2 linked regions of the Saccharomyces cerevisiae S288C genome follow. The gene in region 1 interacts genetically with each later gene. Each region holds a gene or a part of one and is shown in the gene's direction. Other genes may lie near its edges.

Evidence for each region.
Region 2: of FLC2 (region 1) and APM2, extra expression of one rescues a mutant of the other (dosage rescue), as found in Saccharomyces cerevisiae (one study listed by BioGRID).

Annotation. Positions count from the first base shown.
Region 1 is NC_001133.9:44,156-48,935, forward strand, and holds FLC2 (flavin adenine dinucleotide transporter FLC2), read left to right. Parts: upstream 1-1,743; coding exon 1,744-4,095; downstream 4,096-4,780. Other genes in the region: ACS1 (acetate--CoA ligase 1), read right to left, coding at 1-867; oleate-activated transcription factor OAF1, read left to right, coding at 4,409-4,780. UniProt on the Saccharomyces cerevisiae protein: May be responsible for the transport of FAD into the endoplasmic reticulum lumen, where it is required for oxidative protein folding.
Region 2 is NC_001140.6:67,077-71,554, reverse strand, and holds APM2 (Apm2p), read left to right. Parts: upstream 1-2,006; coding exon 2,007-3,824; downstream 3,825-4,478. Other genes in the region: YHL017W (uncharacterized protein), read right to left, coding at 1-1,279; MCO14 (4a-hydroxytetrahydrobiopterin dehydratase), read right to left, coding at 1,485-1,847; transcriptional regulator OPI1, read left to right, coding at 4,099-4,478. UniProt on the Saccharomyces cerevisiae protein: Component of the AP-1-related (AP-1R) complex, an adapter protein complex that mediates of cargo protein sorting in clathrin-coated vesicles. AP-1R has a specific role in SNARE SNC1 sorting.

The DNA of each region.
Region 1 (4,780 bases):
TCTGGGGGCATGGAAAGCAACAGATGGATTGTTGGTCTTTCTATAAACCAAGACGTGTCTCACGCCTGGGGTCTCTCTTAGCGCGTCATCAACAATTCTTTTAGTCTCAATGACTTTACCACCTCTGTTGGATTCATCTGTAGTGATGACAACTTTAGAGTCCCCATCGTTGATACGATCTCTCAAGGAGTTGGAAGAAAACCCGGCAAAGACTACGGAGTGAATGGCACCGATACGGGAAATGGCCAACAAGGTTATGATTGCTTCTGGGACCATAGGCATGTACACGGCAACAGTATCGCCCTTGCGAACGCCCATAGAGTAAGTCAGCACTTGTGCCACTTGACAAACTTCTTCAAGTAGTTCCTTGTAGGTAATGGAATAGCCTTGGCCAGGCTCGTCACCTTCGAAAATAATGGCTTTCTTGTTAGGAGTCTTCAAGGCATGTCTGTCAACACAGTTGTAACAGGCGTTTAATTGGCCGTTGAGGAACCATGCATTGTTCTGGAAGGAGGGCCTGCCCGTTTTAGGGTCTGGGATGAACACCTTATCGAATGGCTTAGACCAGTTTAAAAATTGGGTAGCTTTAGAACCGAAGAACTTAGCAGGGTCTTCAATAGACTCCTTGTGCAAGCGCTGATAGTCCTGCAACCCGTCCAAGTGTGGAGAATAGTGGGTAGCAATTGCGGGCTGCAGTCTATCTGAGATGGGCCGTTGTGGCACGATCTTGACCGAAGTCAAATGTTCATACTCATGTTCCTTCTTCTGCTGCGCAGTGGCGGCAGACTGGGACATTTTTGCTTTCAACTTGTCAATTTCACTTGACTGTTCTTCTAGTTTTGATGATTGTACGGCAGAGGGCGACATAGCACAGTGGGCAATGTCTTTCTAGTAGTTTTGATATGTTTGGTTTTGCTTATAGATAGAAAATATAAGAACAAGATATAACGTACTACCAGATAACCTAAGGGAGAAATATGCTTAGAATAGCCGCCCAGTTTATATACAAAATGAAGGGAGAACTATTTGCCACCGAGGAACTGTACCCCAACTGCAATACCCATTGAATAATGGCATCGGAGGCTCGGCGGCAATTCGTACCCCAACCTTTTTTTTTTACTTTTCTTTGGATCTTAGAGATAACAGAAAAAAAGGATGACCCCAATCATTTGCCACGGCATGTCAACAGGTGAGTGCCTTTTGAGGGGGGGGGGTCATCTCGACATCCGGCGAAATGGAGCAGTCACACGTGAACATTTTTAGGGGATGGAGAGTGCTACGCCGTTCGTCCGAGATGATTATCATATTTACACAGCCGTACATACACGTGCCATTTATCTTGATATCATTCTGGACGTATGTGCACATGTGATTTGCTTTTGTTTTTTTAAGAATGTCGGGTAATAAACAGATTGTTTTTCTGGGAGGATAATCTTTTCTTTTTTCCTGTTGGTATTCTAAAATTAACCTTGCTGTTTCTTTTTTTTTTTTTTTTCGCGCGACTACTCAGCCATCTTGCATTTTTAAAGAAAAAGATAATCATTAATGCCTTCACGGGAATACGTATAGAACATTATTAAAAGTATATGAATGGCATATATATATAGAACACCACCCTTGGAAAACATTTATACCCCTTAAACTAAAACAATTTGCTGCGCTATACCGTGTTTCAGTGTATTATAATACATTCATTTCTGTTTCATTACGATTATATTGACGTGATAAAAAGATTATATAGCCATGATCTTCCTAAACACCTTCGCAAGGTGCCTTTTAACGTGTTTCGTACTGTGCAGCGGTACAGCACGTTCCTCTGACACAAACGACACTACTCCGGCGTCTGCAAAGCATTTGCAGACCACTTCTTTATTGACGTGTATGGACAATTCGCAATTAACGGCATCATTCTTTGATGTGAAATTTTACCCCGATAATAATACTGTTATCTTTGATATTGACGCTACGACGACGCTTAATGGGAACGTCACTGTGAAGGCTGAGCTGCTTACTTACGGACTGAAAGTCCTGGATAAGACTTTTGATTTATGTTCCTTGGGCCAAGTATCGCTTTGCCCCCTAAGTGCTGGGCGTATTGATGTCATGTCCACACAGGTGATCGAATCATCCATTACCAAGCAATTTCCCGGCATTGCTTACACCATTCCAGATTTGGACGCACAAGTACGTGTGGTGGCATACGCTCAGAATGACACGGAATTCGAAACTCCGCTGGCTTGTGTCCAGGCTATCTTGAGTAACGGGAAGACAGTGCAAACAAAGTATGCGGCCTGGCCCATTGCCGCTATCTCAGGTGTCGGTGTACTTACCTCAGGGTTTGTGTCTGTGATCGGTTACTCAGCCACTGCTGCTCACATTGCGTCCAACTCCATCTCATTGTTCATATACTTCCAAAATCTAGCTATCACTGCAATGATGGGTGTCTCAAGGGTTCCACCCATTGCTGCCGCGTGGACGCAGAATTTCCAATGGTCCATGGGTATCATCAATACAAACTTCATGCAAAAGATTTTTGATTGGTACGTACAGGCCACTAATGGTGTCTCAAATGTTGTGGTAGCTAACAAGGACGTCTTGTCCATTAGTGTGCAAAAACGTGCTATCTCTATGGCATCGTCTAGTGATTACAATTTTGACACCATTTTAGACGATTCGAATCTGTACACCACTTCTGAGAAGGATCCAAGCAATTACTCAGCCAAGATTCTCGTGTTAAGAGGTATAGAAAGAGTTGCTTATTTGGCTAATATTGAGCTATCTAATTTCTTTTTGACCGGTATTGTGTTTTTTCTATTCTTCCTATTTGTAGTTGTCGTCTCTTTGATTTTCTTTAAGGCGCTATTGGAAGTTCTTACAAGAGCAAGAATATTGAAAGAGACTTCCAATTTCTTCCAATATAGGAAGAACTGGGGGAGTATTATCAAAGGCACCCTTTTCAGATTATCTATCATCGCCTTCCCTCAAGTTTCTCTTCTGGCGATTTGGGAATTTACTCAGGTCAACTCTCCAGCGATTGTTGTTGATGCGGTAGTAATATTACTGATCATCACGGGACTTCTGGTTTATGGAACTATAAGGGTTTTCATCAAGGGAAGAGAGTCTCTCAGATTATACAAGAATCCTGCGTACCTACTTTACAGTGATACCTACTTCTTGAACAAGTTTGGGTTCTTATACGTTCAATTCAAAGCAGATAAGTTTTGGTGGCTTTTACCCTTATTAAGTTATGCGTTCTTAAGATCCCTGTTTGTTGCCGTTTTACAAAACCAAGGTAAGGCTCAAGCAATGATCATCTTTGTCATTGAACTAGCTTACTTCGTTTGTCTCTGTTGGATAAGACCATATTTGGACAAGAGAACTAATGTTTTCAATATTGCTATTCATTTGGTGAATTTGATCAATGCATTTTTCTTTTTGTTTTTCAGTAATTTGTTCAAGCAACCAGCAGTGGTTTCGTCAGTGATGGCGGTTATTCTGTTCGTTTTGAACGCGGTGTTTGCTCTATTCCTATTATTGTTCACTATTGTCACCTGTACACTGGCATTACTACACAGAAACCCAGATGTCCGTTACCAACCAATGAAAGATGACCGTGTGTCATTCATTCCTAAGATTCAAAATGATTTCGATGGCAAAAACAAAAATGATTCTGAACTGTTTGAATTGAGAAAAGCTGTTATGGACACCAATGAAAATGAGGAAGAAAAAATGTTCCGTGACGACACTTTCGGCAAGAACCTGAATGCAAACACAAATACAGCAAGACTCTTTGATGATGAGACTAGTTCATCCTCTTTTAAGCAAAATTCCTCTCCCTTCGATGCCTCGGAAGTAACGGAGCAACCTGTGCAACCAACCTCCGCTGTCATGGGTACGGGTGGCAGCTTCTTGTCTCCACAGTACCAACGTGCGTCATCTGCTTCTCGTACTAATCTAGCGCCGAATAATACAAGCACCTCCAGTTTAATGAAGCCTGAATCAAGTCTCTACCTGGGGAATTCCAATAAATCATATTCGCATTTTAACAACAACGGCAGCAACGAAAACGCCCGCAACAACAACCCATATTTGTAATCCAATATATACTCACATGTAACAACTTATTATATAAATATTTAAGGGCAAGGATATCCTACATTATATTTCATAGAAAACCGCTCAAAAAGGTGTATTATCTCCATTACATCCCAACACCACACATATTTCAGCGATAAAAACCTTAAATGTGAAATTCGCTTTGGCTCTGCTTCCTTAAATGTACGCAATTGCCGCTTTTTTCTGACATCTTTTTTGACGTGTAGAGAAGGAAACAGATCCTCCAGAAGGGATTTACTGTTGGCTATTTTGTGTTAGAAGCAGGTTAATAATAGATTAGGTTGCGTAAGTCATGGTCGAAAATAGTACGCAGAAGGCCCCACATGCCGGAAATGATGATAATAGCTCTACCAAGCCATATTCGGAGGCGTTTTTCTTAGGGTTCAATAACCCAACGCCTGGATTAGAAGCTGAGCACTCAAGCACATCGCCTGCCCCCGAGAACTCCGAAACACATAATAGGAAAAGAAATAGAATATTGTTTGTCTGCCAGGCTTGTAGGAAGTCAAAAACAAAGTGTGATAGAGAAAAACCTGAATGTGGTCGATGCGTCAAGCATGGGTTAAAATGTGTTTATGACGTATCAAAACAGCCAGCACCACGAATTCCGAGTAAAGACGCCATTATATCAAGGTTGGAAAAAGATATGTTTTATTGGAAAGAT
Region 2 (4,478 bases), on another chromosome or scaffold:
AGTAAACGAAACTAGGCCAAGTATCTGTGATGAGGAATTCTGTTTTCCAATATTGTTCTATCATGTCAACAGTGTCCATACCGACGTATGCAAAAGTAGAGACTAGTAAGCCTAAGAAGAGTATAAACAACGAAATATAACACAATATGATCAGTTTTCTGTACATGTTTAATTTCACCACTTGGTTTTGTTCCCTCAAATAAGTCATTGTTTTGTTCATTGAAGACAGTGTCAAATAATAGAAAGCGAATAGACATAATACTAAGGGGATAGCAGTAATCAAAATCAAATTGGATAAAGACTCAGAATTCTGGGAATATTTTTGGACCAGGAATGCAACGCACACTGCAAACGTAAATATCGCAAATATTTGACATCTTCTTAGCAATGTACGGTCCAGTTTTGGATATACTATACCATATCCAAGAGATATCAGCAAGGCGAGGAGAAGCGTGAAAGTCATCTTACCGGCGCTAAAGATCGATATGAAAACCATATAGACATGAAGAGCGACGCTGGAGTTTCCCTTCTGGTTCTCAATAATATAGTACATCCAGACGAAAATAGTATCAGCTGTTAGGAAAATACAAAATACCAAAATGTACCTTTGTAAAGGCAGTAACTCATGTCTATGCTTCCAGCATAGCCAAGAGTACACTAATGTACAGACGGCATAAGCGACGGCCAAAAAGGCATAAATAGGCATCTTGTACGCCTCTGAAGCGTCCAATTGACCGTAAGCGTTCCTAAAATTCACTGTAGCCTTAAACTTGGAACTGGAAGAAATGAAAGATGACGTGGTCACACAATAGTAACCAGTTTTGTTAATTGAGTATACCTTGTCGTTAGTGCCCAATTCTTGTTGAGTGAAAGTCAAAATCTGACTCGTTAGCTTATGTTCCTTACTGGTGAACGGATCGATGGCTGTCTCTTGAATGATAAATTGCCCCTCCGACGAATCCTCACAGAGGCCCAAATCCAATGCGTAGTCATCGCAAATATACTGAATTTCTCCATTTGGTAACCGCACACCAATATGCTCATAATCTTGGAAATCAAACACAGCAACACTAACCCCCTCGCCATCATCGTCTTCATCAGCAAGTGACAATTCCTCCAACGTAAACGATATATAGGGGTCAACTTTTCCATTGAAATCCTCCTTGGAATACATCCCTGAACAGACATCGTGATATTTTTGATTTATGCTTTCTTGGTTCCCTTGAACTACCCCACAGAGTAGCAACAGCCACGTCAGTAATAGCCACGTTCTATCCATTTTTCTGTTCGCTAGTTATTGTGTCTAGTTTGCCCAAAAATGATTTACACAATACAGTTGAAATTTCAATACCTTTTTTTTCAATTTTCAGTTTTTCCATGTTGCAATGCGAGAATGGGTATGGGTAGCAAAAATTTCTAGTAGTAAAATCGATAGGAAAAAAAAAATGGAAAGAGCAATAGCCTTTTAGACCTGCCCTGCCTTATCAAGTTGTCATCTCATCGATGTAGGAATCTATTCTCTTGGCCATCCGGACGTCTATATCGCTAAGCTGGCTGTGAGCCCCGTCTTTCGGGTCTATGTCATGCGTATGAAGTTCCAGCTTGACCCAGGTGTAACTTGTGTGAATCAGGGGATGGTGGCCCCATAGATGAGATCTCATCGATACACGAGTCAAAAAGGCCCATGTGGTTTCGTAGTCCTTGAATGTTACCTCTCTTGTTATTCCCAAACATTTGGTCTTATTAGGGTCCCATTGAACTTCCCAACGGGTCAAGGGTTTTAGCTTCTCGAGTAGTTTGCCCCCTGTGAGTGCACTGGACGCGATTCTAACAATCTTGTTGTGCATTGTATTCTTACTTTGGTTTCTTTCTGCTTTTGGTAGGTTGTGTTTACTGTTTTATAACTGGAAGGGCTTAAATTCCAGATTGGAAAATTGAGAATGCCTTGGACAAAAAGCAAATAAAGGGACCCAAAAATAGTAAAGAGGAAATCAGGAAGGAAAGGCATGTCGTCAAGCCTTTTTATCCTGGATGAAAATCTGGAGCCATTGGTATCGAAGAATATTAGAGCACTACCGAATCTATCGTCGGTTCTTTCAAGTTTCAAACAATGTTATCATGACGGGTCGCCTCCAATTCTCTCCCAAAACGATTGGTTCTTTATACATTTGAAGAGAGACTTTCTGCATTTCGTTTCAGTGATACATACCACAGACAAACCAAATATAGACTTAATGACTATACTAGCCTTTTTGGAACAATTTTATCATCTTTTACAAAAATATTTTGAAATCGAGGTCTTAACTAAGAATGTCATACTGGACAACATCTTACTTGTCCTGGAGTTGATTGATGAATGTATAGACTTTGGTATCGTACAAGTGACGGATCCAAGTATCATCAAGGACTACATTCGTGTGAAGGTCAACGTACCAAGAGTTACAGTAGACAATGAGGAGTGGAGCCCTGGTGAAGAGAGCAGTAGTAGTAGCGGTAGCGATAGCGATAGCGAGTACAGCAATACTAATAAGAGGAAGGATAAGAAGAAGAAAAGGAAGAAGAAAAAGGGCACTAAAGGGAAAAGCGTGGGCAAAAGTAAATTAAAAAGTATAATGGTAAACAATAAAGAAAATAGGGGCATAAACGTGGTGGAAACTGTCAAGGAGACACTAAGGAACAAGAATGATACCGGTAAAGAAGCCGCTAATGACGAGCTCCCCAATGACGGTAATGATTTATACATCAATGGCGATATTGCGAAGACGATTATAATGCCCATATCATGGAGAACAAAGGGGATACATTACGCCAAAAACGAGTTCTTTCTTGATGTTATTGAACGTGTTCAGTACTTGATGGATTTTGAAAAAGGAGTGATTAGGAAAAATCTGATACATGGAGAGATTGTGTGCAGATGCTATTTATCAGGGATGCCCAAACTGAAAATATCCATAAACAAGATACTGAACAGGGACCCCCAGTTCATGTCGAATTCCAGCTTTCATCAGTGTGTTTCACTAGATTCCATAAACACTATTGAAAAAGATGAAGAAAAGAATAGTGACGATGATGCTGGTTTGCAGGCCGCCACAGATGCAAGAGAAATCGAATTTATACCGCCGGATGGCGAATTTGTTCTTTGCCAATACGAGTTGAAGAGACATGTAAAGGATGCGCCGATGGTGAGGTTGAAAGATTTTGAAATCAAACCTAAACTGAAGAAGTTTAAAATCCAAATTGTAACCAAAATTCAAACAAATTTTAAACCCACCAACTCAACGTCGAAGCTAAACGTGAGAATTCCCCTGACAAAAGTCTTCCAGGAATATAAAATAGACCTCAGCAAGCAAATTAGATTCAAGGCAAACATCGGCAAGGTCGTGTTTAACTTGAGTGACGATTTTCTCCTCTGGGAGATACAAACCATGAAGGGGCACCGAGAACATAGCACAAACAAGAGCTCACAGTACAACAGCGACGAAGATGATCCAAATACGTGTGCATCCATGGTGGCAGAGTTCCCCCTCTTCAACCAGGAAGAATATGACCGCCTGCAAGAAGAAATGAAAACCTCAATGAATCCGCCGCCCTTGCGCACGGGACCCAGGCTGGAAGAACTATATAGACAAGTGCACGACCAACAAACTTCCCACGTTACTCCTCGAGATAAGTTGGTCAACATTGATTTCGAGATTCCGTACTGTACATGCAGTGGCCTGAAAGTTGAGTACTTGAAGGTCGAAGAGCCACAATTGCAGTACCAGTCTTTCCCCTGGGTCAGATACAAGACCGTCAGCGACGAAGAGTACGCATATATTGTTTGACGCTTACGCAGACATCTCATAGATAGACAAATGGTACGTTCGTTTTAGTATATAGATGGCACCTTATAATCTTCATATGCAACCGGGTAAAATCGGGCGTTCTTATTTTTTTTTTTTCCACCTCAATGAGAGGGATTAATAAGAGGATTGGAGCAAGACAGCGATCTGCACTTAGCCAAGAAAGCATATCAGGCCAGAACGTGGCATTTTGTTTACAGTGCTGATTAAAGCGTGTGTATCAGGACAGTGTTTTTAACGAAGATACTAGTCATTGATGTCTGAAAATCAACGTTTAGGATTATCAGAGGAAGAGGTAGAAGCGGCTGAAGTACTTGGGGTGTTGAAACAATCATGCAGACAGAAGTCGCAGCCTTCAGAGGACGTCTCACAAGCTGACAAAATGCCGGCAAGTGAGTCGTCTACGACGCCGCTAAACATTTTGGATCGCGTAAGTAACAAAATTATCAGTAACGTAGTGACATTCTACGATGAAATAAACACCAACAAGAGGCCACTGAAATCAATAGGGAGGCTGCTAGACGATGACGATGACGAGCATGATGATTACGACTACAACGACGATGAGTTCTTCACCAACAAGAGACAGAAGCTGTCGCGGGCGATTGCCAAGGGGAAGGACAACTTGAAAGAGTA